7 linked regions of the Cricetulus griseus genome follow. The main gene of each other region encodes a partner of the protein of the gene in region 6 in a complex. Links are inferred from orthologs where the notes say so. Each region holds a gene or a part of one and is shown on either strand. Other genes may lie near its edges. The genes, in order: Kat14, Kansl3, Ogt, Phf20, KAT8 regulatory NSL complex subunit 1, Wdr5 and Sgf29.

Region 1 (3,500 bases), about 100 Mb from region 6:
TAGGAGTGGAACCACCCACAATGGCCTAGGCCTTCCCAAATCAATTACTAATTAAGAAAATATCCTACAGGCCATCCTATAGCTTGATCTTACTGATCCTCTCTCCTCTCCATTGACATTAGCTTGTGTCAAGTTGACATAAAACTAGCCAGCATACCTGTCATGGACATTTTGGCTGTTTCTTCCTTTGTTGTTGTTATTGTGTGGTTTGTTGGTTGGTTTGAGATAAGGTTTCATGTAGCCAAGTCTGGTCTTGAACTCATGATACTCCTGACTCCACCTCTTCAGTTCTGAGATTACAGTTGTGCCACCATGCCTGAGCTTTTATTTTTATTTTATTTATTTTCTTTTGTGGGGGGCGGGGTTGAGACAGGGTTTCTCTGTGGCTTTAGAGGCTGTCCTGGAACTCACTTTGTAGACCAGACTGGCCTCGAACTCACAGAGATCCGCCTGCCTCTGCCTAGTGAGTGCTGGGATTAAAGGCGTGCGCCACCACCGACCAGCCTATTTTTAAAATAAATTTGTGTGTGTAGGGAGGAGGCGTGCCACATACACCTGTGGAGGTCAGAGAGCGACTTGTAGGAGTCACCTCAGGATGGAGCTCTGGTGGTCAGCCTCAGTAGAAGCCTGGGTTCTTTGAGGCAGAGTCTGCTGCTAGGTACTCAACTAGCACCCGAGGCAATCTCATGTAGCCTAAGCTGGCCTTGAATTCTGACCCTCCTGGGTGTACCTTCTAAATACTCTGAATAGGCATGAACCATTATACTCAGCTTTTCCCTTTTTTTGTCAGTATTTTAAACAGTGCTACAAATTTTCATATATATACATAGTATGATAAATTACTGAAAATACTGTTGGTGGAGCAAAGGGTTTATTTAGGTAAAAATGTCTGTGGTAATGCCAAATTACCCTCCAAATGTAAAAATTTATGTTCTACAAAAAAGTCAGGAAGGCAAACCATATTCTTGGTGATCATTATGAAATTTTACCAATTCTAGTATGTGAAAGATAGAATTGATGGTGTTAATTTGTTTAAATTTGCGTTGTAGCTTTTGTCTAAGCAAGTTCTTGCTATATAGGCTGGCGTTAACTCAATATTTACCTCTGGCTGGCTTTGAACTTGAGATTCTCATCCTTCTACTACTGAGATAATAAGTATGCACTATCATACCGAGCCAAAACTTTTTCCGAAAGTGAAGCAAGGTTTTTGGTTGGGGTATTCATTGAACATTTCTGTGTATTGAACATGGTGCCAATAGTAAATTATGAAAGAAATAGTTAACATTAAAAATATAGTTAAGGGATGGAGAGATGGTTCTGCCATTAGGAGCACTTGAGACTTTTGTAGAAGGCTGGAGTTCAGTTCCCAGTATCCACATCCAGGTGGCTTACAACCACCTGGATCCAGCTCCAAAGAATCTGGTGCCTTCTTTCACCTGTACATAAATGTCCAGAAATACATACATGTACACAGAAATAAAATACATTTTTAAAAAGAACAGTTAACATAGAAATTAGATGTTCATTCTTTTCTGGCAGCCTCAAAACCAACGCTGGATCCCATCATCACTGTGGAGGGACTCAGGAAACGGGCAAGCCGGAACCCTGTGGAATCTGCCATGGAATTGAAAGAGAAGCGTTCCCGAACACAGGAAGCAAAAGACATCAGAAGAGCACAGAAGGAAGCGGCTGGCCTCCTTGACAGGAGCACCTCTTCTACCCCTGTCAAGTTCATAAGCCGAGCCCGGAGGCCAGATATGGTTCTGGAGAAAGGGGAAGTAATTGACTTTTCATCCCTTAGCTCCTCAGACCGAACCCCGCTCACAAGCCCATCTCCTTCCCCCTCTCTGGATTTCTCTGCCCCGGGCACACCAGCCTCGCATTCAGCCACGCCTAGCTTGCTTTCTGAAGCAGACCTCATCCCAGATGTGATGCCACCCCAAGCCTTGTTTCATGGTATGACTTACTTGTGTTTTTCACCTTGTGGGTGAGTGAGCCTTTTAACACAAATAAATAAAAGACCCACAGACTGATATTTGGGTTCAAACTTCAAGCTGAATATCAGAGAAGCAAAGCAGCTGGCCACTAGCTCTCATCTCTAGCTCAGGCTGAAAGGGCTGATTCAAGCATGAGCTCTTCACCAAGTCTCAAACTGCTGCCTCTTCACAATATGACTGAAGAATGAATATCTCACTTAGACCTTGCTTCTGTCTTATATACTTGCCTGTTGTTGGGATTATAGGTGTGAGCTATAGTTCTCTTTAGACTGATTCACTCTTGTGTAGATCTGGGTGGCTTTGGACTCACGTAGATCTGTCTGCCTCTTAATCCTGAGTCGTAGGATTAAAGGTGTGTACTACAACCTCCACTTCTGGCTGCTGGGAATAAAGGTGTGCGCCTGGCTTTTATGGCTTGTGGCTGACTTTGCTTTTCTGAATCCTCAGGCAAGCTTTAATAAATCATAAATAATATATCACTATAAAGCCTTGTGCCTTGCTTTCCTGTATCTTGACAACAGTACTTTCTACTTTGCACAGATGATGATGAGCTGGAAGGAGACGGAGTTATAGACCCAGGGATGGAGTACATCCCACCCCCAGCTGGGTCAGCAGCTTCTGGGCTGGTTGGGAGCAGGAAGAAGGTCAGAGCTCCCGAACAGATAAAACAGGAGGAGGACAGTGATGAGGAGAAGCCAGACAGGATGGATGGAGATAGCGAAGACACAGATTCAAACACTTCTTTGCACACTAGGGCTAGAGAAAAGAGGAAGCCACCCCTGGAGAAGGATGTGAAGCCCAAGGGGCCCAGGTATGCTCCTGTGAGCATCTATGAGGAGAAGCTGCTGCTTAAGAGGCTGGAAGCGTGCCCCAGTGCTGTGGCCATGACTCCGGAAGCCCGGAGGCTAAAGCGGAAACTGATCATCAGGCAAGCTAAGAGGGATAGGGGTTTACCACTTTTTGACTTGGATGAGGTTGTGAACGCTGCACTTCTGTTAGTCGATGGGATTTATGGAGCCAAAGACGGAGGAGCTTCCCGGCTTCCGGCTGGACAAGCTACATACCGGACCACCTGCCAGGACTTCAGGATCCTTGACCGGTACCAGGTGATGTGGGGTGGAAGAGAAGTGGGGTAGGCAGCACCTGGCAATGGCTACTGTAAACTGTGGCATTTGATATCATGAGTAATTTGAGAAGAAAGCAATGCAAAACTTGCTGGGCTTCTTGTTCCAACATTGCTTTTCATTTAATGCCCCTTCCTATATCTGAGTTTCTTTCTTACCCGGCATCCAAGAAATAGCCTAGACATTTCTTGTCTCTCTCTTGAGGGTAGCTATATGTAGTCTGTTTCATGGTTTTGATTGACAGATTTGAAGACATGTAGTATCTATCCTAGACCGTAATGAGCTGGAGCTGTGGTATGTAACTATCTGTGTACTTAGGGCTTAACTATGAAGAACTATGGGGTCAGCATTACTCACAGGGTGAATTCCACACGTGCTC
Region 2 (4,046 bases), on a different chromosome or scaffold from region 6:
TTCAAACAAACCACTCTTCTAAGCCATACCTATGGCTGCAATCCTAAAGCTTGGGAGGCAGAAACAGGAAGATCAAGAATAAGCTACCACCCTAAGCTACACAGCAAGTCCCAGGTTAGCCAGGGATACAGAGTAAATACCCTGCCCCAAAAGAAAATACACAAACTCATCAAGGCAGCATATACCTATTATCCTAGCTCCTGAGAGGTGCAGGCAAGAAGATCAAGAGTTAAAAATCATCTTTAGCTGTACTACTGTTTGGGGAGGGGAAGGGACTGGTGTGTATGTGTGTAAACAAACCCAATTTCAAAAATACAACAAACCAATAAAAACATCCAACATTCTACACTTGCTTAAAAACACATAATGGTCCCTCTAACTCATCAATACTCAAAGGGGTGTGTGTGTGTGTGTGTGTGTGTGTGTAGAGAGAGAGAACCCACTACCCCTACAAAAAAAAAAAAAAAAAAAAAACTGTGCTTGAGAAAAGATTAAACATTAAGTCAAAACAAAAAAAAAAAAAAAAAACAAACACAAAATCTCTTATCCAAACATTTGTAATGACCAGTCTAGAGCATTTCAACAAATCCGGAAATGGGTGAAATCAGAAGGTTCAAAATAATTGACTAATTAGTTAGGTCAGATGTAACCAAATCACTTATCAGATAGTAAAGTTTTGAAATTTTCTTACCCTCTAACGTAAGGTGGCTGGAAATATAATGAGACTTAGGAGGGTTTAGATTAACCCACAGGTGGCTTTCTGTAAGGAGGTAAGAATGAAAGCAATGTTTTGGGAACTCCCTCCGAATCTGTGATTTGTGCACTGAAGCCAGGGAAAGGGAATGATATATTGTAGCCACTGTCAAGCAAATCAGATGCTGCAGTAAAGTGACAAGGAAATTCTTCAGTTTTCTCTTTCCACACAAGCTCTATTACACTTATCTAAGTGGACTAGGCTGTGTTTTCATTTGGATATCTTGCTTTTCTAATTCCCATCTGCAGATGTCTGTGAAGATGTCCACACTTGCCCTGATATGCTTAGGCTGCTCAACCAAGTTCTCCAGTCACCCCCGAACCCCAATCACTCCCAAGAACACTTCTCTAATCCCCACCATATGATCACTGCCAAGGTTAGGCAGAAGTAGCCCTTAAGAAGGAAACCCAAACTCACATGGTATTCTCAAACTCACATAGTATTCTCCTGCTGCCGACGGGGAGTTACAAAGAGCATGCGGGTGGGGCGGGCACTACTGGCATCTGGGTGGGCACTCCATGGTTTAGCATAGCTATGATCCAAAAAAACGAGGTCCAGCTCCCGCTCATGCACTGAAAGTTGGAAGAGCAGGGAGGTACCCATCCGCCGAGCTGAAGTCTGGAAGTCCCTCTCCCCACCCCGGTGGGCCATGTCAGTAGTCTGGCAGACAAGTCAGGGTGTGAGTATCTGCATACTAGTCACCTGCAGTGAAAAGTGGTCAATTCAATATTTTCAATCTCTCCCAATGTAAACTATCAAAATACGCTTTTATGCCTATCAGTCTTATCATCGATTATGCCCTTTCACACAGAAGTGAGTTCCCACACCACTACAAAAAAGGTGCCGGTGTGATGGGGCAAGTCATTCTGTGTATCTTATTGGTTCCGGTGCTGTACAAAATCCACAATTACGTAACTATAAACTGACTCCACAGTTACAAAGACCTTTCGTCCACAACTGGGAAGGCACAGGCAGACAGATCCCCATGAATTCGAGGACGGCCTGATTTATACAGTGAGTTCCTGCCGAGAGAGAGAGAGAGAGAGAGAGAGAGAGAGAGAGAGAGAGAGAGAGAGAGAGAGAGAGAGAGAGAGAGAGGGAGGGGGGAGGAAAGAGACATGAGAGGGAGAGAGAGGGAGAGAGAGGGAGAGGGAGAGGGAGAGACGGGGGGGGGGGGGGGGGGGGGGGGAGAGCAAAACAAAAAATAAAGACCTAAATCTGCTATGCAATTTCCTTCTTGGGTGGTAAAGGTTTTTTTTTTTTTTCTTTTGCAAACAAGAAGAATCACAAGCATGAATTCTTTCAAAAGCTAAGGGGTCCCTACTTTCCATCCCCTTAGGGCTTGGGCAGGGCCTGTGGGCTCGGGCAACTCCTGGAACAACAGCCTGGCACCGCGGGCGTCCAGGAAGCAGCCTGCTGCCCAGGGCTCCAGGTTTCACCGCTTTGGGCTGAGATTAAGGGTAGTCTCCTAGGGTCACGTTCCAAAGTTTTGCACCGACCTCACGTTACAGCGGAGTTTTGAACAGATAAAAAACGAGAGCCCGCCCTCAGCCCGTGCCGGGACGGGCCCTCGGGAGGCCTTTCTTCCTCCGCCCTCCCACGGCGAGGCGCCCGGCAAACTGCCCGCTCCTCAGGGAGGATCTCGCCACGGAGCCGCAAAACCTCAAAACGGCCCACCCGGGCGGCACGGCGACGGCGCTGGCTCGGGGGCCTAAGCGACTTGGCCAAGGTCATCCCGAGTTCGTGACGAGGAGGAGCCGCCCGGCCCCGCCTCCCGGGGCCCTTCTCGGCCCCGCGCCTCAGCCGCCCCAGCGCCGTCTCGGCCTCCGCGCGCCCGGGCCGCCCCGGGCCCGCGGCTCCAGTCCCGGCCCCCCGCATGCCCGCGAAGCCCGAGGGCCTCGCAGAACCGCCGCCCGCCGCCTCGAACCCCACGGGCCGCCACCCGCGCCGGGCCAGGCCCGCGTCTCACCAGCAGTCGCCGGCCGCGCGCTCGCCCGAGCCGGATCCTAGCGCGCGTGCGCTTTACCGCCTCCGCGCCGGGCACGGTGGGCTCTGACGAAAGCGCGGAAATGGATCGCTGCCTGGGGACCGCGCGGCGGCGAGCGGCAAAGCCCGGAACGGATCCGCTCCCGCGACTTCGCTGCCCAGTGGGTAGCGCAGGAGGGGCACACAATTCCCAGGCGGAGACGTCCTGTCCTCCCTCTGTGTTTTCTGCAGGAAAAGTGAGGGCAAAGAGCAAGATAGTTGCCGGGTGGTGGTGGCGCACGCCTGTAATCCCAGCACATGGGAGGCAAAGGCAGGCGGATCTCAGTGAGTTCGAGGCCAGCCTGGTGTATACAGAGTGAGTGCCAGGACTGTTACACAGAGAAACCCTGTCTCGAAGGAAATAAAAAAGAACAAGGTATTTGCCACAACCCAAGTACTCTGTGTCCCCACCTTTGTCCCTTTGCCAAGAGCTGGGTTCCATTTGCAGTAGGAGAGTGGGGGTTACCTTCAGTCCAGCCACGTGATGTATCCTTATAACCCCAGCACGCAGGAGGCTGAGACAGGAGGATCACGGTGAATTCCCGGACGACCTGAGCTAAAACGTGATACCCTGTCTCAACACTTCAAAACAAACTGGAGAGAGGGGAAGAGGAAAATCTTTGCAGCGTGTTGGAACCAACACTAGAGCTCTGCAGAGTTTAAGGAATAAAGGGAAGTTGGCAGAGTTCAGACTGGGATGAGATAGAGGTGGAATGTTAGGCTCAACATCTAACTGCCTGGTTCAACAGATCACAGCAGGCAAGGCTTCAGCCTTTTCTCATCTCTAAATGCACAAATACTTAGCCCTGCCTCTCCAGGATGCCAGGGGAATGCAATGGGCCACCTGTCAAGACCTCGAATTGACTTCTTGATGGCAATTACCATGAGCTACCCCACCTTTATGCTTTCGAACTCAGCATCTTTGACTGCTTACTTACTTATTCATTTATGGGGCGAGTGGTAAGACAGGGTCCCATGTATCTCAGGCTCAGCTCAACCTAGCAGTAGAGGCAGGGATGACCTTGAATTTTTGATCCTTCTGCTTCTCTGCCTTTCAAGTGCTGGCATTTCAAGCCTGCATCACCATGCCTAATAGAACACAGTGGGGTTGCTTTTTTGTTTTATTTTTGTTTGTTTGTTGCTTATTTGTGGGGTGTTTTTGGTTTTTGTTTTTTGGTTTGTTTTTCAAGACAGGATTTCTCTGTGTGTAGCCCTGGAACTAGCTTTGTAGACCAGGCTTGCCTCGAACTCACATATTTCTGTCTGC
Region 3 (4,145 bases), on a different chromosome or scaffold from region 6:
GGGCTTGCCAGGTATCTCAAATGAAAAAATAAAGCGGGTGTCCAAGAGAGTGTGTGTAGCGAACTTTATCACTACATGCTGTGTTTCTATGAGGCGAAAGAAATTAATAATATTATCAACTTTCTTTGCACTCATATCCAGAGTTGACAGTTTGGTCAGTGATTCCAAGAAATTGAAGCAGCATTTGAGGATTTATTTATTTTTTATGTCGCCAAGGGGTTAGGAAACAAACATTTTTACACAAGTTCACTGATTTTTTCTTAGATCAAAGAGTTTTTTTTTTTTAGAAAAAAAAAACAGAAACAAAAAGGCTCTAAGAGACCTAACTATAGCCTCTAGTGGCTTGAAGTAATTGCTTGCTGATGTGACAAGTTATGTTAAAAATTTTCCAGGAACAAGGCAGGAGGTATAAATTAATAACAGTATGACAAAATGTCGGAAAGCTGCATTTGAAACCGCAGGAGGATCCTAAGCGCTGTTTTGTCAAAGGAAGGCAATACGGGATTCACCGTAGATGTGTAGCGAATTTTAGCATTGTTGAATTGCCTTAAGGTCAACGGCATTCGCGGACCTTAACAATTTGCAGAGCCGTTTGGCTAAACGAAGTCACAACTCAGAATCAGAAATTTTGATGAAAACGAATTATGTTTAACATTTCCATGGTTGCTTTTGGCATGCGAAATCGCAGCAGGTCCCTGAGTAATTGAACATTTATTTTGTTACTGTAGACCATTATTCTCCCGAATACCACAACGATTTTGAATTTTCGGGCTATATGATTCAAATCGGACACGTTTAGGTTCACGCAGCAAAGGGAAAGCATCATTCTTCACATCAAAATACTTAAATTCATGGGTGGAGTCCGAATCAAGAAGCATTCAAATCGGAACCGGCTCCCCCTTCGTTTTGAACAGTTCCGTCTCTTGAAATACAATTCTTCGCATTTACTTGCTTAGAACGGACACACTAGCCATGTAAACTATCCATTATCTTACGAAACTTTTCTAGACGTCTCTGACATTCCTGTTAACATCTACATCAATGACCGGGTAGTAGACTTCTACTTTAGCACTTGCCAAAAAATGTAATCGACGTGCGTTTTTTGCCCTTCCGCCTGGCTCTTAAAAACTTGGAAGCTCTTGCCCCACAGGGTGCCCTTAACCCGGAGTTGCCTTGACAGAGTTGTCGCATGCGCTTTCTATAGCCGTGTTTGTCGCAATGGACCTTGGGCGGAAGGTTACGTAAGAGCAAGTGATTTGATTACAGTCATTTGTCGGTAGTCTTGTTACGCGCTACCTCCGCGGGGTACTTGATTGTAACAGAAAGTAGTTCCGGCCTGTGTTGTTTCGGTCGAGGAGCCGTCGCCGCCATTTCAAGACAGGGAGAGGTAGATGTCTAAGTAGAGTTCCCAAGATTCGAGTTCAGTATCTGCTGCCGCCCCTTAAGCCTTCCAAAACACTGATACGGCTGCTGCCCCCTTTCTGCTACCTCTAGAAACATTCTTGCCAGTAGTGGCGGCAGTAGAAGTCAATTACCCCCTTCTTGCTCTATATCAAGAAGCTCCAGATGGCGTCTTCCGTGGGCAACGTGGCCGACAGCACAGGTACCAGTGTCCCATTCTACTTTGGCAGACGTCCCTTTGGGGTCTGGCGCCGTCTTGTATCTCTCATCACTCCCTTCCCTCTAACCATCCCCATTACATCAGTGGCATTGCTGAACTCTCTTGAGTTCTATTGCCATCTGATAGGGTTTGGTGCTGTCGTCCGTTCTGTAAACAATCCCTCGTTGCTTGCTTGCATTTTGCTTGCTTTTGAGCTTTTTCGTTGGTATTTTATACCATCAGTGTTCTAGCATCATCTCCCGGGACGCGTCTAGCACACGTGCGCGCTTAGAATGTCTTGGAATGGGCTGCATTGGAATCCCTGCTCTTTCTGTCTCCATCGCAACTCCTTTCTCCCCTAATTCCAGCTCGTCGATCCCCCCAGTGCACTTCCACTTCCCTCCACCCAAGCCTTTTTCCCCTTGGCCACATTTAGTACCCCTCTGCCAGTCTGGGGCGGGGGTGCTATTTTGATGTAATCCTAGCCTCACTTTGCATCAGGCAAAGACTAGCAAAAGCTCGTCGATGTGTTTCCAAGTAACCTCAAGAAGAAGGGACCTTGAGCCTGGACGCCGGCTGGCACCTGGTTTTCTTGGGTTGAGTGGCCTCGGTTTAGGTTGGAAATTTCCAGGGGTTCTCTTAGCCATCGCCCAAGTGCACCCGCTGCCCCTGTCCTGACTTTCCCATCCTGTCGGCCCTCCCCGCTCGTGGCAACCACACCCTTCCTCCGCAAGTGTGCCAGCCCGACGGTCGTTTCCTATCATTGGGAAAGAAACCACCTCGGTGCGTTGCTTGGCGTTGACCACCCTTGCCCGCCCAATTCTTTGTGTTACTTTCTCAATGTATTCCTCCGCCGCCGCCTCTGGGTTTTCATCCCCATTCTTTAGCCCAGTTATTTCTTTATTCATAGGGTGTGCATTTTTTTTTTAAGTTTCCATCCTTGCTTGAAGAGTTTGTAAAGCACCTGGAGTGTAGCTGCACAAGTGCAAAGTTGTTGCCCCTTTTCGACAATTCATTCCTGAGCGTTCGTTACTAAAAATAAGAAAACAACCAAATTGTAGGAGTGTCCTTCAATTGCCTTTCCAGATTGAGGCTATTTGGGGAGGGAGGGAGTGAGGAACCCGGCTGCGGTTCTAAGGTTTCCGAGAGGATATTGTTTTTTGTTGTTTCGCAGTCGCGGTGTATCAAGGTTTTAGTTGTGCGACATTGTGCGATAAATGGATGAATCTTCAATAGTATCTCATCCATAATTGATGGCAGTGGGATTAATAATTAGTTCCACCCCCGCAGTGGTCGTTTCCCACAGTGAATTTCAAAGATTTAAGATTTCGCGTTAGAATTTTGTAAGCGCTTGCCCTTTTCTGACTGTTAACTTTATTTGAGGAAATGGCCTTTTCCAGTATTAAAAGAGCAGATAACCGACTTGGAAAAGTGCCGACAAGCAATATGCTAAATTTAGGAGCTAGAAAGTGCTGCATTCTGTTCTAAAATGTAATTTTCTAGTTGATCTTAAAGATCCGACCTTAGATTTGGACACAAATCTTCCCGGTCTTTGTGTCTGTGGTGGTCAACTGTGCATTCTGTCAGGAAATTGCTTTCTAGAGCATCCAGAGCACTCATCAGCTCTGATACGGGGGAGCTTGGCTTAAATTTGAGCTTGTCCTCACGACCTTGGTAAAATTATGTTCGGTCTGTGGTTTCCCATTCTAACCATCTAGAGAGTGTTATGGTAGAATTCCTACTTGTATCACTGATGAGAGAAATGTTTATAGCTGAGCCTTAGGCATGTATCTGAGCTTCAGCTTTTCATTATGTATCTAAACCAAGTTCCACAGAATAAAATTATTTTTTGTCATTTATTATGTTATATTTTACCCAGTGTTTTATATTGTAGCGTTTTTAAACTATTGCAATGGTAGATTGCGTAGATATGTAAAGGGTTGTTTTCAACGTCTTAATCCTTCCGTGAGAGCCGGGAACACAGCGGAAAATGTTAACGCTAAGGCAGCGTGGGTGGGATTTAGCTAATTTGGTCTCCTTGTGAGTCCTTGCCAGTAGACGAGGAACATTTGGGTCTTTGTTTAAAATGTTTGGTGAAGGTATTAAATGCTTTAGCCCTTGACAGATACTAGTCTTGTTTATCAGCTACTTTAAAAGTGAAAGTAGCACTCTGACTTCAGTTGTTTTCCTTAGGCTTGTTTTTATCGTTGCTCCTAAAAAAATAAAGCTGTAAAACGCACAAACATCAGTATAGTTCTCAGACACCTGGAGTCACCTGCACTGAGAAAGTGTTAGAATACCCCAGCCTTTACTAATCCAACGTGAAATGTAGGATGAAGTATTATTAGCACTAGGTTATTCTGACAAATCTTTGTGATTTCATGTTTAATGTTTTGTGTGACAATGTGCTAACTTAGTTAAGTGACTGTACCTACGATTTAAAGTTTAAAACTACAAAATTAAAAAGACAAATCTCATTTGGAAGTAAATATTGCTGTGGTTTAGAAAAGAAAGCTTTAGTAATGAGTGAATTTAAAGAGATGAA
Region 4 (3,500 bases), about 120 Mb from region 6:
GCGCACGCCTTTAATCCCAGCACTCGGGAGGCAGAGGCAGGCGGATCTCTGTGAGTTCAAGACCAGCCTGGTCTACAAGAGCTAGTTCTAGGACAGCCTCCAAAGCCACAGGGAAACCCTGTCTCGAAAAACCAAAAAAAAAAAAAAAAGTTTTTTTGTTGTTGTTTTTTTTTTTTTTTTCTTTCAAGGCTGGCCAGAACTGGCTCAGTGGTTAAGAGGGACCTGGGTTCAATAACCAGCACTCACATGGAAGTTCACAACTGTCTGTAAGTCCAGTTCCAGGGGATCTGGCACCATCACGCAGACATATGTGCAGGCAGAACACCAGAGCATAAAATAGAAATAAATCTTTAAAAAGAGTTTTTTTCAAATTCGCATGTATGTGTGTTGGTTGTATGGGCACAGCTTTATACCACAGCATGGTTGTGGAGGTCAGAAGACAGCCTTGGGTGTCAGTCCTCATTGTCCACTTTGAGGCAGGGTCTCTTGCTCACCACATGAGCCAGGCTTGCTGGCCTACAAGCTTCAGGGGAGTCCCTTGTCCCTCTTGTTTCTGCCTCTCATTTCTCTGTAGATTCTTTTGATTTCATTTGTGCTGCCACATCTGACTTTATGTAAATTCTGATTATCCAAACTGGTTCTTAAGCTTTCGTGAAGCTTGTTATCTGCTGAGCCATTTCACCAGCCTAGGAAACTATCTTGTGCTTTTAAAACACAAACAAACAAAACAACTTTTTTGGGGGGTGGGTAGGATCTCAGTGTGTATCCCTACCTGTCCTGGAACTGGCTCTGTAGCCGAGGCTGGCCTCAAATTCAGAGTTCCACCTACCTCAACCTCCTAAGTGCAGGGATTAAAGTTGTGTGCCACTATCACCTGACCAGATAAATTGTTGAGTCAGGGTCTCTCTGTGTGGGCTAGGCTTGTCTCTGCATCCTGAGTGCTGGGATTAAAGGTGTACACCACTACTGCCCCACTACACTAATTTCTTAAAGAGAGAGAATAAGTGTATTTTGTGCTGATAACTACATATCAAGTATTAACATGAAGCAAGTCAGAATTGACAGTGATTTAAAAAAAAAAAAAGTCCCTGTAGATGCTTCGTTTTTCTGGCAGGACAGCCTGCCCTGTTTACATGGGAAAGCTTTAAAAAGACAGATAACTCAGAGTAGTCTTCAGAACCTTCTGGACTCTGCTCTGGCACAACAGCCGCTAGCATTGTGTGGCTAGTTAACATAATTAAAAGTGAATGCAGCTGGGCTCTGGCTCTCACCTTTAATCCCAGCACACAGGAGACAGAAGCATGTGAATCTCTTTGAGTTTGAGGTCAGCTTGGGCTACAGAATGAGTTGAGTTCTAGGATAGCCACACAGAGAAAACATGAAAAAAAGTGAATACAATTCAGGTGCACTCCTTAGTTTCACTCACCCTACTGTAAGAGCTCAGCAGCTGTATCTGATTTGACTGGTGGTCACTGCATTGGGGAACATAGATATAGATCATTCCTTCTATCACTAATTAGGGCTTCAGGCCTGCACTGTGGGGAGGCATCGATGTAACCAAATACCTGACAAAAGCACATTGAGTAGCTTATCATTTCAGAGAGTCCAGTCCAAAGCTACTTGGTCTAGTCCTGGCAGTGAGAGCCTGTCGTGGAGGCATCTGGCTATGTCTTGGCAGACAGGGATGATAGAGGAAGGGATGCAGGCATAATTGTCAAAGGCATACCCCTAGTGACCTACTTTCTCTCCAAATAGCATCACCAGCTAGGGTCCAACCATCCACCACACAAGCCTATGCTTACCATGCAAACCCTAACATTAGAGCTTTGTGCCCTGGAGCAATGCTTTGTGGGGCGCTAATATTGGGGCAGCCTGGGTTGAAATGGCCTTGTGGCCTTGTGGCCTTGTAGGTTTTTGTAAGTCAAGTTCTAAGCACTCAAGGGTCTTCTCTCTCTTCTACCTGCAGTACTGGAGAGCTGGCTGGACTACACTGGGGAACTGGAGCCCCCAGAGCCACTGGCCAGGCTTCCACAGCTCAAGCATTGCATCAAGCAGCTGCTGACTGACCTAGGCAAGGTGCAGCAGATTGCCCTCTGCTGCTCGACATGAGATTGGGCGCCCAGGACAATTGGAGCACAGTCCTGGCATGACCGCCAGGGGGAGCTTCGAATATTTAAATAAATAAACTTAGCATGCTGAATGCACGTGACACTGACTGACTTCAGGGATTTGGCCAGGAGTGTGATGGACACTGGGACAAAGAGACCATTTTGGCTGCTGGAGGACGGGGCACTCTTGATCTGGAAGCCAACTACGAAGGCAGCGCATAGTCTTAGAACCCTCTTCTGTGCACATCGTTGAACGAAGCGAGTCTTTGCACATCTTCACTTGGAATCGTGCCACTGGTGATAAATGGAATGAGAGCCAAAAAAAAAAAAAAAAAAAAAAATCTAGTTGGAAACAGTTGTAAATTCAAATTGCAGTTTATTGAATTGACTTTTGGGTCAGGTTGAGGCATATACCAACCCCTCTGGTTTCTCTGCCTGGTGTGGTGTATGGCAGCAGGCACTGTTTGTTTTCATCTTTCAGCTTCACTGGAATATTGGGACTTGACTGTGCCATGCAGTTTGGGAAGGAGAAGCACGGCCTTGACGGCACTGCCTCCTCAAGACTTCATTTTCTTGCCACGTCTCTTGCATGATTTCACGGTACGGGGGACAAGGTTTTATGCTGTTTTTCAGCCCACAGTAGGCTGGGCCATGGCTTTGGCAGCCAAGCCGAAACTGCCGAAGGAGAACTAGAATCTTGCTGCGATTCGAATCTACAAGGAGTCCCAGAAGGAAGCAGGCAGGGTCTGGAACCCAACGGACAGCATTTTCTACACATGTATTAATTCCAACAACTTCCCACTTCTGTTTAAAGTTTAAAAAAGTTTCCCAAGATTTTGAACTATTACTGTAAAGATTTGTTACAAAGAATGTGGGAATTACCTTATTTTATATTGTCGTCAGCAACTTGAGATTCTGTGTGCCACTCTCCTCCTCTTTGGAGGCTAGTGTGGTAGCTGGCATTTTCAGAGCTGCTGATGCACTTTAACACTTTCAATTTCCTGTTTGTATTACTTGTGAGATCAAGGTGATTATGCTGCTTAAGGTCCAGGTACAACCTGTTTGTACGTTCAGAGAAAATATTTGTGTTATTTTGTAGGTTCTGGTTCCATGTGTAATTGCTATATTGTTTTGTTTTACCTTACTAGGCAAAGTTTAAAAGGTTCCATGCTTTGAGGACTTGATTTAACCAGTTTTTGCATCACTAAAGGCAAATATCAAAGTACCTTTATCCATCAACACCCCCAGGTTCATCATGAGTTTTGGAATCTGTAATGCTTTAGGCAGCAAATATTTACTATGTAAACATCAAGGAGCCAATGTCAGTAGCTAGAATAGCAGCATCTCCAGCTGCCTCAGGAACTGTTCAGCTTCAGGCGTAACAGGTCATTG
Region 5 (3,500 bases), on a different chromosome or scaffold from region 6:
CATGCATGAGGTGCACATACACATATACATGCCTATATGGAGGAAAACATTCATACATAAAAATGAATCTTTATAAAAAGATGGCATTCCAAGAAGGCTGGCTTAGCTTGGCAACTTAATAGTTCGGGGACTGGAGGGGTGGGTTGGTGGTTGAGAGCACTGATTACTCTTCCAGAGGACTGGGATTCTATTTCCAGTGCTCATATAGTGGTTCACTACCGTCTTAAACTTCAGTTCTAGAGGAACCAATGCCCTCTTGTGAATTCCTCAGGCACCAGTCACAGCACTGATACACATGCAGACAAAATATTCACAAACAAACATTTTTAAATGTGATAATTTTTTCTGAGACTTCATGAAGCTGAATTTTTGTACTCATTCCTTTCAACACAGACAATTAAAGAAGACCAAGGAGGGATATATGAGAGGGTTTGGAGAGAGGAGCGGGAGGGATAGATGATGTAATTATCTGGGAAATTCAAAAGTTTTAAAATTAGCAAAATCCATAATGTTTACTTGTGTCATCAAGAACATCTTTTAAAAATAAACTAATAGTTAATTTTGTGACTGTATGTAGACTCATGCTGTAGTACATGTGTGGAAATCAGGACAACTTGAAGGAATTGGTTAAACCCAGATGTTCAGGTTTGATGGCAGGCATCTTTACTTGCTGGGCTATCTAACAGGCCCAAGAACATCCTAAATGTAATTGGCATTTTTTTTAAGCTGCAAGTGAGGAATACTTTGACTACTTTCATTGTTTGGTGCTATTGTCTTGGTATGTACCAGCAGTTTTGCTTATCTCTGTTTTTGGACCCACATTGCAAATGTTAACAGTTTGTAAAAGGCAGGGCCAGCAGAGATGGCTCAGTGGACCTAAGGCACTTAATGGCCTGAGTTCCATTCCTAGGTTCCAACGAGAGAACCAGATCCTTCACATTGCCCTCTGACTTACACAGCTGTACTGTGGAATCCACAACCCCCACACAAAAATATTTTTTTTGTTTTTTTTTTAACAATTTTATTATTATGTGCATTAATATTTTGCCTGTATGTCTGTGTGAAGGTGTCAAAACTCCTGGAGCTGGAGTTACGTTGTGAGCTGCCATGTGAATGCTGGGAATTGAACCCTGGTCCTCTGGAAGAGCAGACATTACTCTTAACTGCTGAGTCCTCTCTCTAGCCTCCAATAAACATTTTTTTTTAAAAAAAGCAAATGATGTTTTAATATTACTGAAGTTCTCTGGCCACACTCACACTGTAGGCATATGTTTGCCTGGAAGTACAAGTGTACACACATAGCAGCAGCAGTAGTGTGTGTGTGGGGGGGGGTATGTATTAAGATCCCTAGAGGTACAGAGATTGGGCTTTTAGGGATAGTTGAAACAGTCCTTTATATAGATTTCCCTTTGCTTCCAGACCCAGATAGATGAATCAGGAATGAAGAAGCAGCAGTTAATTGAGGTATGTCATTAAGAAAATGAGGCAGGGTGAGAAAGGAAAAGGTTTATTGAAAGAAGAAAGAGAGTTCTGAGTTTCCAAGGATGATCAGATTAGAAAGTTAATTAGTGCAGCTCAGAATTTTTTTCTGAGAGTTAGTGGTCCTCTTACTAGTAGTTGTTGCTAAGGAAATGAGAGAGAAGGCAGAAGGAAGGGATCTTGGGTGGTACCAACATTTTAGGAGGTTTGAAAGGAAGAATAGAATAGAATTATAATGCCAAGAATATCAGGAAAGAATATTTCAAGAAAGTCCATATTACTTAATACTTATGGGAAAGTCAGAATAGGACTGTAGATTTAATAATAACTGGATAATAATATTACTGGTTAATTTTCCTGGAGTGTGATAGGAATGGAAACTAAGTTCTAGAGGAGTGAATAGTAAGGTAACTGTAGCTATTCCTTTGAAGTGTTTTGGGGGAAGGGGGAGAAAGTTATGTTGGGCTATTAATTTAAAGACACAGATTTACTCTGAAAAATAGCCCAGTAGAAAAGACACTATGTGCTATATGAAAGAAGAAAATTAATGAAGCAAATTGATGTTACAGTGTGATGTAGTTAGCCTGGTAGTAACAATCTAAATTTGTAAGGAATGAGCTAATGAGAACTGGATTCCTGGCCAGAAAAGTAACACAAATCCATGAGATTTTGGCATAAACCTTTTAATGAGAATAACATGTTTTTCTATTACTGGATATTCCTCTTATATGGTCATATTAAATCTAGTAATTTAACATTTAAAGAGCCCCCTCCCCCCCTTGGTTTTTCAAGATAGGGTTTCTCTTTGTGGTTCTGGCTTTCCTGGAACTCATTCTGTAGATCAGGCTGACCTCAAACCTAGATCCTCCTGCCTCTGCCTCCAGAGTGCTGGGAATAAAGACATGTGCCACCACCACCTGGCAAAGAGGTTTTAAGTGCAGGTAATTGTAACCATTTGTGATTATTTCAGAATGGGACTTCTATTTTGACAATATTCAGCTTGTGGTTAACAAGTGACACGAAGGGTAAAATTATTTTCTTGTGAAAGCATTGTGTTCCTCTCTTTCCCCTAGGTGAAAGACATCTGAAGGCTGTAGAATGGTTCCTTAGTTAATTTTCTTTATTTGGAGGCAGAGTTTGGACAATAGCCTCAAGTGGTGCTTCTATTGAAAATGTGTGTTGTTTTTGAATTCACTTGTATTTCTGACTTCCTTTCTCTCTATCTCTTTCAGTTTGTTCTCAGGGGAGGCAGTAAGGGGCCGTGGAGCTGGCCTCAGCACTGGAAGAGGCTGGACTTCCTGTCTCTCTGTGCTGAATGGCTGCGATGGCGCCCGCTCTCACTGACGCAGCAGCTGAAGCACACCACATCCGGTTCAAACTGGCTCCCCCATCCTCCACCTTGTCCCCTGGCAGTGCCGAAAATAACGGCAGCGCCAATATCCTTATTTCTGCCAACGGAACCAAAAGAAAAGCCATTGCTGCAGAGGATTCCGGTCTAGACTTCCGAAATAATCCTACCAAGGAAGACCTGGGAAAGCTGCAACCATTGGTGGCATCTTATCTCTGCTCTGATGTAACATCTGTTCCCGCAAAAGAGTCTTTGAAATTACAAGGGGTTTTCAGCAAGCAGACAGTCCTTAAATCTCATCCTCTTTTATCTCAGTCCTATGAACTCCGAGCTGAGCTGTTGGGGAGACAGCCAGTTTTGGAGTTTTCCTTAGAAAACCTTAGAACCATGAATACAAGTGGTCAGACAGCTCTGCCACAAGCGCCTGTAAATGGGTTGGCTAAGAAATTGACTAAAAGTTCAACACATTCGGATCATGACAATTCCAGTTCCCTCAATGGGGGAAAACGGTCTCTCACTTCATCTGCTCTGCAGGGAGGTGAAGTGGGGGGATCTGACTCTGGGAACTTGAAGGGGGGTATGACCAATTGCACTCTTCCACATAGAAGCCTTGATATAGAACACACAACTCTATATAGCAATAATAGCGCTGCAAACAAATCTTCTGTTAATT
Region 6 (4,057 bases):
ACACTCTGCTCCATTCAGGGCTCCGAACATAGGGATCAGGTTTGTTAGGCACACAGTATCACATCGGCTGTTTCTGTGTCCTCTTTGGAAGGGGATTCTGGGCCAGTTGCCAGTCTTCTCTCACTCCTATAGCTATGGGAACCACACACATTCTCAGCTCCAAAGGCTCACTTCCTTTGCACAGGTTCCTATGCTATATTTGATACTCCCACACTGGGAGATAAGAGGCCGCCACCATCTCCAAGATTCTAAGACCATGTGTGTTAGATAGTAAGATGAAGATGCAGCCTGTCTTCAGGTTGTCATTATGTCCTTGTGTCCTCTCTGGGTCTTTCCTCCATTAGTGACAGGAGTAGAGGTGGCCTACAGGAGAGGGGGCTGTGAATACTTTGCTTAATTCGGGCATCCTGCCTGTCTGGAGCTGTCTTGTGAAAATGAGAATTACGGTGAAAACAGAGACTTTAAAATGAGCCTCTGAGCCATACAGGAGCTGGATTGTAGTGGATACTGCGGTTGCCTGGAATGTGATCTCTGGGCACCCAAACTAAGGAGCAACTGAATGATGCAGTGGTTCCAGATGCATGCATAGCGAGAGGACCTAGAGCCCCTGTGTTAGGGACACTTGCCTTTCATCTTTCTTTTTTCCTTCCTTCCTTCCTTTTTTTTTTTTTTTTTTTTTTTTTTTCTTTCGAGACAGGGTTTGTGTGTAGCTTTGAAGCCTGTCCTGGAATTAGCTCTTGTAGACCAGGCTGCTCTCACAGAGATCCCAGATGCCTCTGCCTCCGAGTGCTGGCATTAAGGGCGTGCGCCACCACCGCCCGGCCTTGCGGCGATAGTTTCTAAGACCTTTTTCTGAGTATGGGGCTGCGTAGCACAGCCTCCTTGTCGCCTAGCTCAGAGGCGAGGCAAATGTGTCCAACTTGAGCTGTGGCTTGTAGCGGCAGGAAGCCCCCGCCCTGCGGTAGGCTGGGGAGGCCGCAGGAGCTCCGGACTTCCGGACCTCGTGGACCTCCACCAGTGGCACCGAGAGGGTTCCCAAGACCCCAGCGCAGTCACAGGCCAGGACGGCCAAGCTGTAATTATCAGCTTGGCGACACAGCATGGAACAACAGGAGAATCACAAAAGCACATTCCGTCCCATCCTTCACTGCAGACACCACGGGTCTGCAACCAATGGATCCCAGCTGTCAAGCAGGAAGCGAGAGCCGCCGGCGGCCCCTTTAAGGCACTCCTCCTCCTCTAATTTTTCTGACCCTCGTCGCCGCCCGTTGCCCCGCCCCCCGCGCACGCGCACTCCCGCCCGCGTACCGCGCCGCTGCCGCCTAGTTCAGGAGCTCGTCTGCTCTCGCGCGCAGAGCTAGCCGACGCGACGCCAGAGCGCCCGGCCCCGCCGCCGCGGCCCCGGCAGGTAAGAGAGTGAGCCGGCCCTTTGGGCGCGAGGCGGGCGGCGGCCACGAGGGATAGCGGGCTCCGGGATCCACAGCGCCGCACGTGTTCCATGGGCCTCAGGCCGGGCCCGGCGCCGCCTCTGGGGCCGCGCCCCGACCCCACCGCCCCTTGTGGTCGTCATGGCCCACTCCTCCCACGACAACCCCCACTGCGCCACTAGACCCTTAGTCGTGCGAGCTCCTCGAAGCACACCTCAGGCTGGTGTCCTTGGGGGTGGGATTCACGGTCTTTCACCCAGCCAGTATCTCCCAGGTTTCCTTGGCCACTTGGCGCCTCTCTTATGTTGCCAGTTGCCAGCACAACCTTCACCTGAGTTCCAGTGCAAATTTCTACCTGACGAGGCCTAACTCTAGTCAAGGGGGTTGTAAACACTGTCTGGGTCAGCACACAGTGGTGTGAAGCCAGGGCTACTAGGACCAAGGTACTAGAACCCAGAGAGAATGGGTTGTAGCTCTTTGTTGGGTTGGCCAGCTGCAATCACCTGAGTGAAACATTCTGTCTCTTCTACACTTGTGCACTCAGTGCCATCCAGGAATCTGCATTCGATTGGAGAGAGAGTAGTGACTGCTGCCCTTCCATGGCCAGGCTCACTGTAGTATAAAGCCCAAGCCACCTTCCGAGTATTCTGTTTAGCATACCTTCCTCTCAGAGCTGTCCTCCCCAATCCTGCTTTTCCGTAGGCTTAAAACTTGCACACCTAGATGCTCTGTCTAGGACTCTGCCCAGTGAAATTGGAAATCGGTGATTTCTTTTGAGACAGACTTATGTAGTTGCTGGCATCTCTTTTTAACTGCTTTGAACTCCTGAGCCTCCAGCCTCCGGAATGTTGTGAGGAAGACTGGCTAAAGTTGGTGGGATTTTTTTTTTTTTTCTTTCCTCAAGACAGGGTTTCTCTGTGTAGCCCTGGCTGTTCTGGACCTTGTTCTGTACATCAGGCTGATCTTGAACTCAGAGACTCCCAAATGTGGCCTAAAGCGTGGTGCTTTCATATGTTAATATTTGACATCTTGAAGAAAGACCCTGTCTGTCCACAGGGTATTGCGGGGTGGGGAGGGTGGTGGTGCACACTTGTTTGCAAAGTCATCCACCCACTGCTAGGTGAATCTCCTTATCTAAAAGAAGCTGTTTAGTTCCCAGAACCTTCCCACCCAAGAGACCTCCCCTACACTGTTGCCCTGTCCTTTTACTGGGGAGATTTGCTGGGCTTTGTGAAAGGGACTTTCAGCATCCTCAGCTCCTCCTGCTACCTGTATGGTCAGCAGAAGTGGTAGCTGTGAGAATCCATGATATGGCCAAATTTTCATTGAGAATAAGCTCCTGGCGTTGGTAGCACATGCCTTTAATCCCAGTACTCAGGAGACAGAGGCAGGCGGAACTCTGAGTTTGATACCAGTCTGGTCTACAAGAGCTAATTCCAGGACAGGCTTCAAAGCTACACAGAGAAACCCTGTCTCGGGGAAAAAAAAAAAAAAAGAATAAGCTCCTGGTCAGGCCTGGTGATTGATATATGCCTGTTACATCAACTGTACCCAGAAGCTGAAACAGGAGGCTTTTGAATACCAGGTACATAGCTAGACCCTGCTTCCAAAAAGCTAAAAACACCAAACAGCTGACATTTCCTGGGCACCAGAGCTTTGTTCCCTGGAGAACCTAGGGGATCTATCCTCCTCCAGTCCTTGCACCTGGGCTTGAGCTACAGCAAGCTATGACCGTGATGGAACGGGCTGCAGGTAAAACAGCTGGGCTGCACCTGTGCCCTTTGTGGTGGGCATTGTAACTGTTACTCCTCTAGGACTGAAGACTTTGAGACATGTTTTGTGTGTGTCCTTCATTTGCCTTAGTCTTTACATGGGGTCTGTGTGAGGTTTCAGGTTTAACCTCAAAGCTAGAATTTACATCATCATTCTTATATTGATGGCCGAGAAATCCATGACCAGTGACTGACATTTGCAAGTATGCCTTAGTAGTTCTCCTTTGAGGACTACTACTTCATTTCCAAGTCACATGGTGCGCTTTTGTGTGGTGCATCCAGGTGATGGACCTATTGCTGCAATGGAATTAACTGTTGCAGGTGTACACATTTCAGGCTGAGTGCTGACCAGAATAACTACTTTCCTCTGCACAGTAGCATGTATCTAGTTTGCAGTTCACTGCTGTTCTCGCTGCTCCTCCTGAGGAAACCTGTGGAGGCAGCGACCACTCTGGTTTACTCTTGTAGCTCTTTTGTAGTACTGTGGGCACTGAGTCCTTGAGCTCTGTGAGCTTATTCTAGAAGGCAGCTTTGTACCTGCAGCCTGTGAGATCATAGGGAGCAGCTGGTGAGGTGGTGGCCACTGGGTTCATAATGCCTGTGTTTTCATGATCAAATTCCTTGGGTGCATTTTAGGGTAAGCTCCCAAACTTCTGCACAGAAGGTCTACCTCCTGTCACTTGGCCTGTCAGTTTCTGTCAGAAAGCCTTTTTTTTTTTTTTTTCTTTCTTTGGTTTTTCGAGACAGGGTTTCTCTGTGGTTTTGGAGGCTATCCTGGAACTCTCTCTGGAGACCAGGCTGGTCTTGAACTCACAGAGATCCGCCTGCCTCTGCCTCCCGAGTGCTGGGATTAAAGGC
Region 7 (3,500 bases), on a different chromosome or scaffold from region 6:
TAGGGAGGCAAAGGCAGGACAATCTCTGTGAGTTGGAGGCCAGCCTGGTCTACATAGTGAATTCCAGAACAATAAGAGCTACATTATGGGACTCTGTTTCAAAAATAAAAAAATTAAGAAAGTACTTGGAATGGTACCAGGTAGTGCCAGGTAGTGGTCCTTGTTACCATTACAGGCTGCAATAGTCGGCATATTCCCATGGCAGGGGAGGGTCAGAACAGTTGATAGAATCTGTCATTCTCTCCACATAATCCCACTGTATGCTCACAATCCAGCAGGGAGTTATTACCCTGATTTTAATGACAAAGCAACGGGGTTTCAAGTGAATTGACTACCAGGTCATGTGACTAGGAAATGGTATGCAGGGACACAACACTGCTTTACTGTCATCTACAAGGCAATAAGATACAGGAGAGGAATGGATAAAGAAGGAAGAGCTTGGGAAGGTTCAAGCAATGGGAGAGGCAGAGTAGGAGGACCCTCTTCACAGACAGAAGGCAGCTGGGGCTGTGGCCTCGGGAATATGTGGTCCAGCACCAGACGTCAGGGAACAGAGCAGCAACAGCCCTGTGGGCATTACTCACTTGCACTCAGCCTCCGCATCAGCCTTGGCGGTTGTGTAGAGGCCACGCAACTTTGTCCGGTAATAAGGAGAAACTATAAACACAAGCATGAGGAGACATGAGCAAGAGGAGGTGGCAGCATGCAACCCTGATTCCAGGACATCAGAATCAGCTTGAAGAGGCTCAGAGGTCAAGGTCTGAGCTTTATCACTTCAAACATGCTCCCAGGAAGTTAGTAAGATGATTCTGTCTGTAAAATACTTGCCTTGAAAGTACCAGGAACCAAGCTCTATCACCAGAACCTAAGTAAAAAAAAAAAAAAGCCAGGCATCCCAGATGTGTAGCATTTGCTTTAATCTCGGCACTTGCAGAGGCAGGTGGATATCTATAAACTGAAAGCCAGCCTGGCCCACACAGAGTTCTAGGACAGTCAGGGTTATCCAGCGAATGAATGGTGAGAAACAAAACATGAGGTTGGCCTTTGCACACATACACATGTGCATACACATATCCCAACATACATTAAAAAAAAAAGTGTTCCCTGTTCAACAGGGCCACATTTCCATATGGTAAAGACGCCACCACCATTCTTAAAAATTGCTTTCTAACCTGCCTCCTGTCCACATCATTACCAAGGAGAAGCAAGTACTGTCCAAAGCTATTCTGAGTTAGAAAGCCCCAGGCACAGGGGGTGACCTGCCTTGGGGCATATGCAGAGGCCATGGGGGAACTCTGCTCCCGAAAAGCCCCATGCCTATGAGCTCTAAGGTAAGGGTGAGTTTTCCTGCTTCAAGGCTGCCTTTCCAGTCCGAGCTGAGAGACTCTGAGGTCCTTTAGTGCAAGGCCAACTGTCTTTAGTCCTGTCACTTTAAGTCATTCAGACAAAGGAACAATGACCCTAAAGAGCAACTTTGGGATATGCAGATACAAGCAAAACTCCCTTTGAAGACACAGTAAGGCCATGCTCCTGGCCTCAGCCATTCCCACTTCCTTTCTCTTCTGCCCTCAGGTACTCACTCTTGTTCTCAGTCTGCATTCGCTCGTGGGTTTTCTGGATGTTCACCAAGTTGTGCTCACTCCTCGAGCGTTCTTCCTAGAAAGATAAGGTCAAGAGACCATGAAGTAGACCATTTACCCTAACAAAAGCTCCCTGTTTACATGAAGACCTCCTCTGTGTAATTCTGTCCTGTGGGTTTTGACAGACGCTTCGGTTACATACCTATCATTACAGTATCATACACAAGAGTCCTACCTCCCCAGACATCCTCCCTGCTCCTCTAACTCTTGCATCCATCCCAACTATCCCAAGGCTCTGCCAATGACATCATTTTACTTTTACTTTCTCTAGTTTCTCCTTTCTGGAGTTTGTCACACAGTTGGAATGAAGCATATATGTAACCCACTGGGATCTTTCATTAAGCAAATATTCGCTAGTATTTTACAATTATTTTTCAGGGTATACCAACTAGTATGTCCCAGAGAGGAATTCCTGGGAATTGCTCCCTACTGGTTCACTAGACCATGTGGTCCAGCAGAACCACCAGTGTGTAACTGACTATAAATATCAATAAGCCAGACGTGGTGGCACACACCTTTAATACCAACACTCAGGAGGCAGATAGGTCTCTAAGAGTTCTTGGCCACCCTGGTTTACATAGCAAGTTCCAGGTCAACCAGAGCTACATAGAGAGACCCTGCCTCAAAAAAGCAAAACAACACACACACACACACACACACACTTCAATGAGCAAATGCTTGGAACGGTAATAATGGACAAAACAGAGCAATGGCATGCTCAACATGCCACACGGCATGCTACAGGCACAAACACATATCATGCTTTATTTGTGAATGAAAGAAAAGCTATTTTAATATATAGGAGGAAATGAGATTTAGACCATTGGCTGCTATTCCAGCGGACCCAGGTTCTAGTCCTAGCACCCATGTGGCAGCTCACAACTGTCTATAACTAGAGCTTCAGGGGGTCTGACAACCCCTTCTGGCCTCTAGAGGCACCAAGTATGCATGTAGTGAACAAACATACATGTAGGCACTCACCCATAATCATAAAATAAAATTAGTCTGGAAAAAAAAGTAGAGGCATCACCTGGCAGATTCAATTCCTTGGTACTACATGCAGGACAAATAAACATACATGTGACTATCACCTTTTAGTCCTAGAATGAGGCACTGTACTTGTTCTGGTTTGACACTTTACTATTCCTATGCTATCAGTATACATCTGCAACATGAGTGGCAGAGTAAACACTGACCCACAGACAGAGAGGGCTTTGGTGATGCCTATGCCTTGTGGGACAAGACAAATTCATGATGAATGAGGAGCTGCATTCAGAGGGAAAGTATTTGTTAATTAGAATAAGAAGATCAACGTGAGTTCTCTTACAGGAAAAAGGCCAATGGAAGTCAATCTAGAAATAGTGAGGGCCTCTAGAGTCAGGCAGGACCAGCAAAAATGCTAAAACCATCCATCATGGGGAAAGAAAGGCCTTAAACACTGACCCAACAGAGCAGAGCTATTTTGAACAGACAGAGGCCAGAGAAGGCAAAAGACAAAGGCCTTCCACCCTCAATGCTATAGCCCATAGGTACACTTATGGTACTCTTGTGGACCTCCAGGGTACCTGTAATACAGTGATGCATCATGACTACACCTGGACCAGTAACAGAGAAACCTAAGCTACATCCTGAAGCAATGTCAATACCAATAAGAATTATTCTAAACACCACCTGCGTCTGTCTCAAGGGAAGGTGGTAGACTTTAGTATGTAGTGCCAAGGACTGAGGCAAGGTGACTGGGTTTGTTTTCAACTGAGCTGCAGCCCAGAAATAGGCAGCCACAGGCCAGGGTAGTAATCTGGGCAGCAGGGGATTAACAGGGTTAACTCAGCAGGCTGGGTTATCTAAACCCCACACATT

The links.
Region 1: Wdr5 (region 6) and Kat14 share a complex: the UniProt entries of both Homo sapiens proteins name them as parts of the ADA2A-containing complex. The link is inferred for Cricetulus griseus from reciprocal best matches to the Homo sapiens genes WDR5 and KAT14.
Region 2: Wdr5 (region 6) and Kansl3 share a complex: the UniProt entries of both Homo sapiens proteins name them as parts of the NSL complex. The link is inferred for Cricetulus griseus from reciprocal best matches to the Homo sapiens genes WDR5 and KANSL3.
Region 3: Wdr5 (region 6) and Ogt share a complex: the UniProt entries of both Homo sapiens proteins name them as parts of the NSL complex. The link is inferred for Cricetulus griseus from reciprocal best matches to the Homo sapiens genes WDR5 and OGT.
Region 4: Wdr5 (region 6) and Phf20 share a complex: the UniProt entries of both Homo sapiens proteins name them as parts of the NSL complex. The link is inferred for Cricetulus griseus from reciprocal best matches to the Homo sapiens genes WDR5 and PHF20.
Region 5: Wdr5 (region 6) and KAT8 regulatory NSL complex subunit 1 share a complex: the UniProt entries of both Homo sapiens proteins name them as parts of the NSL complex. The link is inferred for Cricetulus griseus from reciprocal best matches to the Homo sapiens genes WDR5 and KANSL1.
Region 7: Wdr5 (region 6) and Sgf29 share a complex: the UniProt entries of both Homo sapiens proteins name them as parts of the ADA2A-containing complex. The link is inferred for Cricetulus griseus from reciprocal best matches to the Homo sapiens genes WDR5 and SGF29.

The regions. Positions count from the first base shown.
Region 1 is NC_048599.1:34,612,822-34,616,321, reverse strand, and holds part of Kat14 (cysteine-rich protein 2-binding protein), read left to right. Parts: intron 1-1,539; coding exon 1,540-1,956; intron 1,957-2,537; coding exon 2,538-3,103; intron 3,104-3,500. UniProt on the Homo sapiens protein: Component of the ATAC complex, a complex with histone acetyltransferase activity on histones H3 and H4. May function as a scaffold for the ATAC complex to promote ATAC complex stability. Has also weak histone acetyltransferase activity toward histone H4.
Region 2 is NW_023276807.1:11,828,258-11,832,303, reverse strand, and holds the start of Kansl3 (KAT8 regulatory NSL complex subunit 3), read right to left. Parts: upstream 2,801-4,046; 5' UTR 2,724-2,800; intron 2,390-2,723; exon of another isoform or gene 2,254-2,389; intron 1,457-2,253; 5' UTR 1,406-1,456; coding exon 1,191-1,405; exon of another isoform or gene 1,172-1,190; intron 761-1,171; exon of another isoform or gene 692-760; intron 1-691. UniProt on the Homo sapiens protein: Non-catalytic component of the NSL histone acetyltransferase complex, a multiprotein complex that mediates histone H4 acetylation at 'Lys-5'- and 'Lys-8' (H4K5ac and H4K8ac) at transcription start sites and promotes transcription initiation.
Region 3 is NC_048604.1:68,640,124-68,644,268, reverse strand, and holds the start of Ogt (UDP-N-acetylglucosamine--peptide N-acetylglucosaminyltransferase 110 kDa subunit), read left to right. Parts: upstream 1-1,345; 5' UTR 1,346-1,566; coding exon 1,567-1,603; intron 1,604-4,145. UniProt on the Homo sapiens protein: Catalyzes the transfer of a single N-acetylglucosamine from UDP-GlcNAc to a serine or threonine residue in cytoplasmic and nuclear proteins resulting in their modification with a beta-linked N-acetylglucosamine (O-GlcNAc).
Region 4 is NC_048599.1:23,292,060-23,295,559, reverse strand, and holds part of Phf20 (PHD finger protein 20), read left to right. Parts: intron 1-1,966; coding exon 1,967-2,109; 3' UTR 2,110-3,500. UniProt on the Homo sapiens protein: Methyllysine-binding protein, component of the MOF histone acetyltransferase protein complex.
Region 5 is NC_048600.1:117,451,448-117,454,947, reverse strand, and holds part of KAT8 regulatory NSL complex subunit 1, read left to right. Parts: intron 1-1,419; 5' UTR 1,420-1,464; intron 1,465-2,711; 5' UTR 2,712-2,794; coding exon 2,795-3,500. UniProt on the Homo sapiens protein: Non-catalytic component of the NSL histone acetyltransferase complex, a multiprotein complex that mediates histone H4 acetylation at 'Lys-5'- and 'Lys-8' (H4K5ac and H4K8ac) at transcription start sites and promotes transcription initiation.
Region 6 is NC_048599.1:139,190,716-139,194,772, forward strand, and holds the start of Wdr5 (WD repeat-containing protein 5), read left to right. Parts: upstream 1-1,257; 5' UTR 1,258-1,408; intron 1,409-4,057.
Region 7 is NC_048596.1:74,084,154-74,087,653, forward strand, and holds part of Sgf29 (SAGA-associated factor 29), read right to left. Parts: intron 1,657-3,500; coding exon 1,581-1,656; intron 658-1,580; coding exon 585-657; intron 1-584. UniProt on the Homo sapiens protein: Chromatin reader component of some histone acetyltransferase (HAT) SAGA-type complexes like the TFTC-HAT, ATAC or STAGA complexes.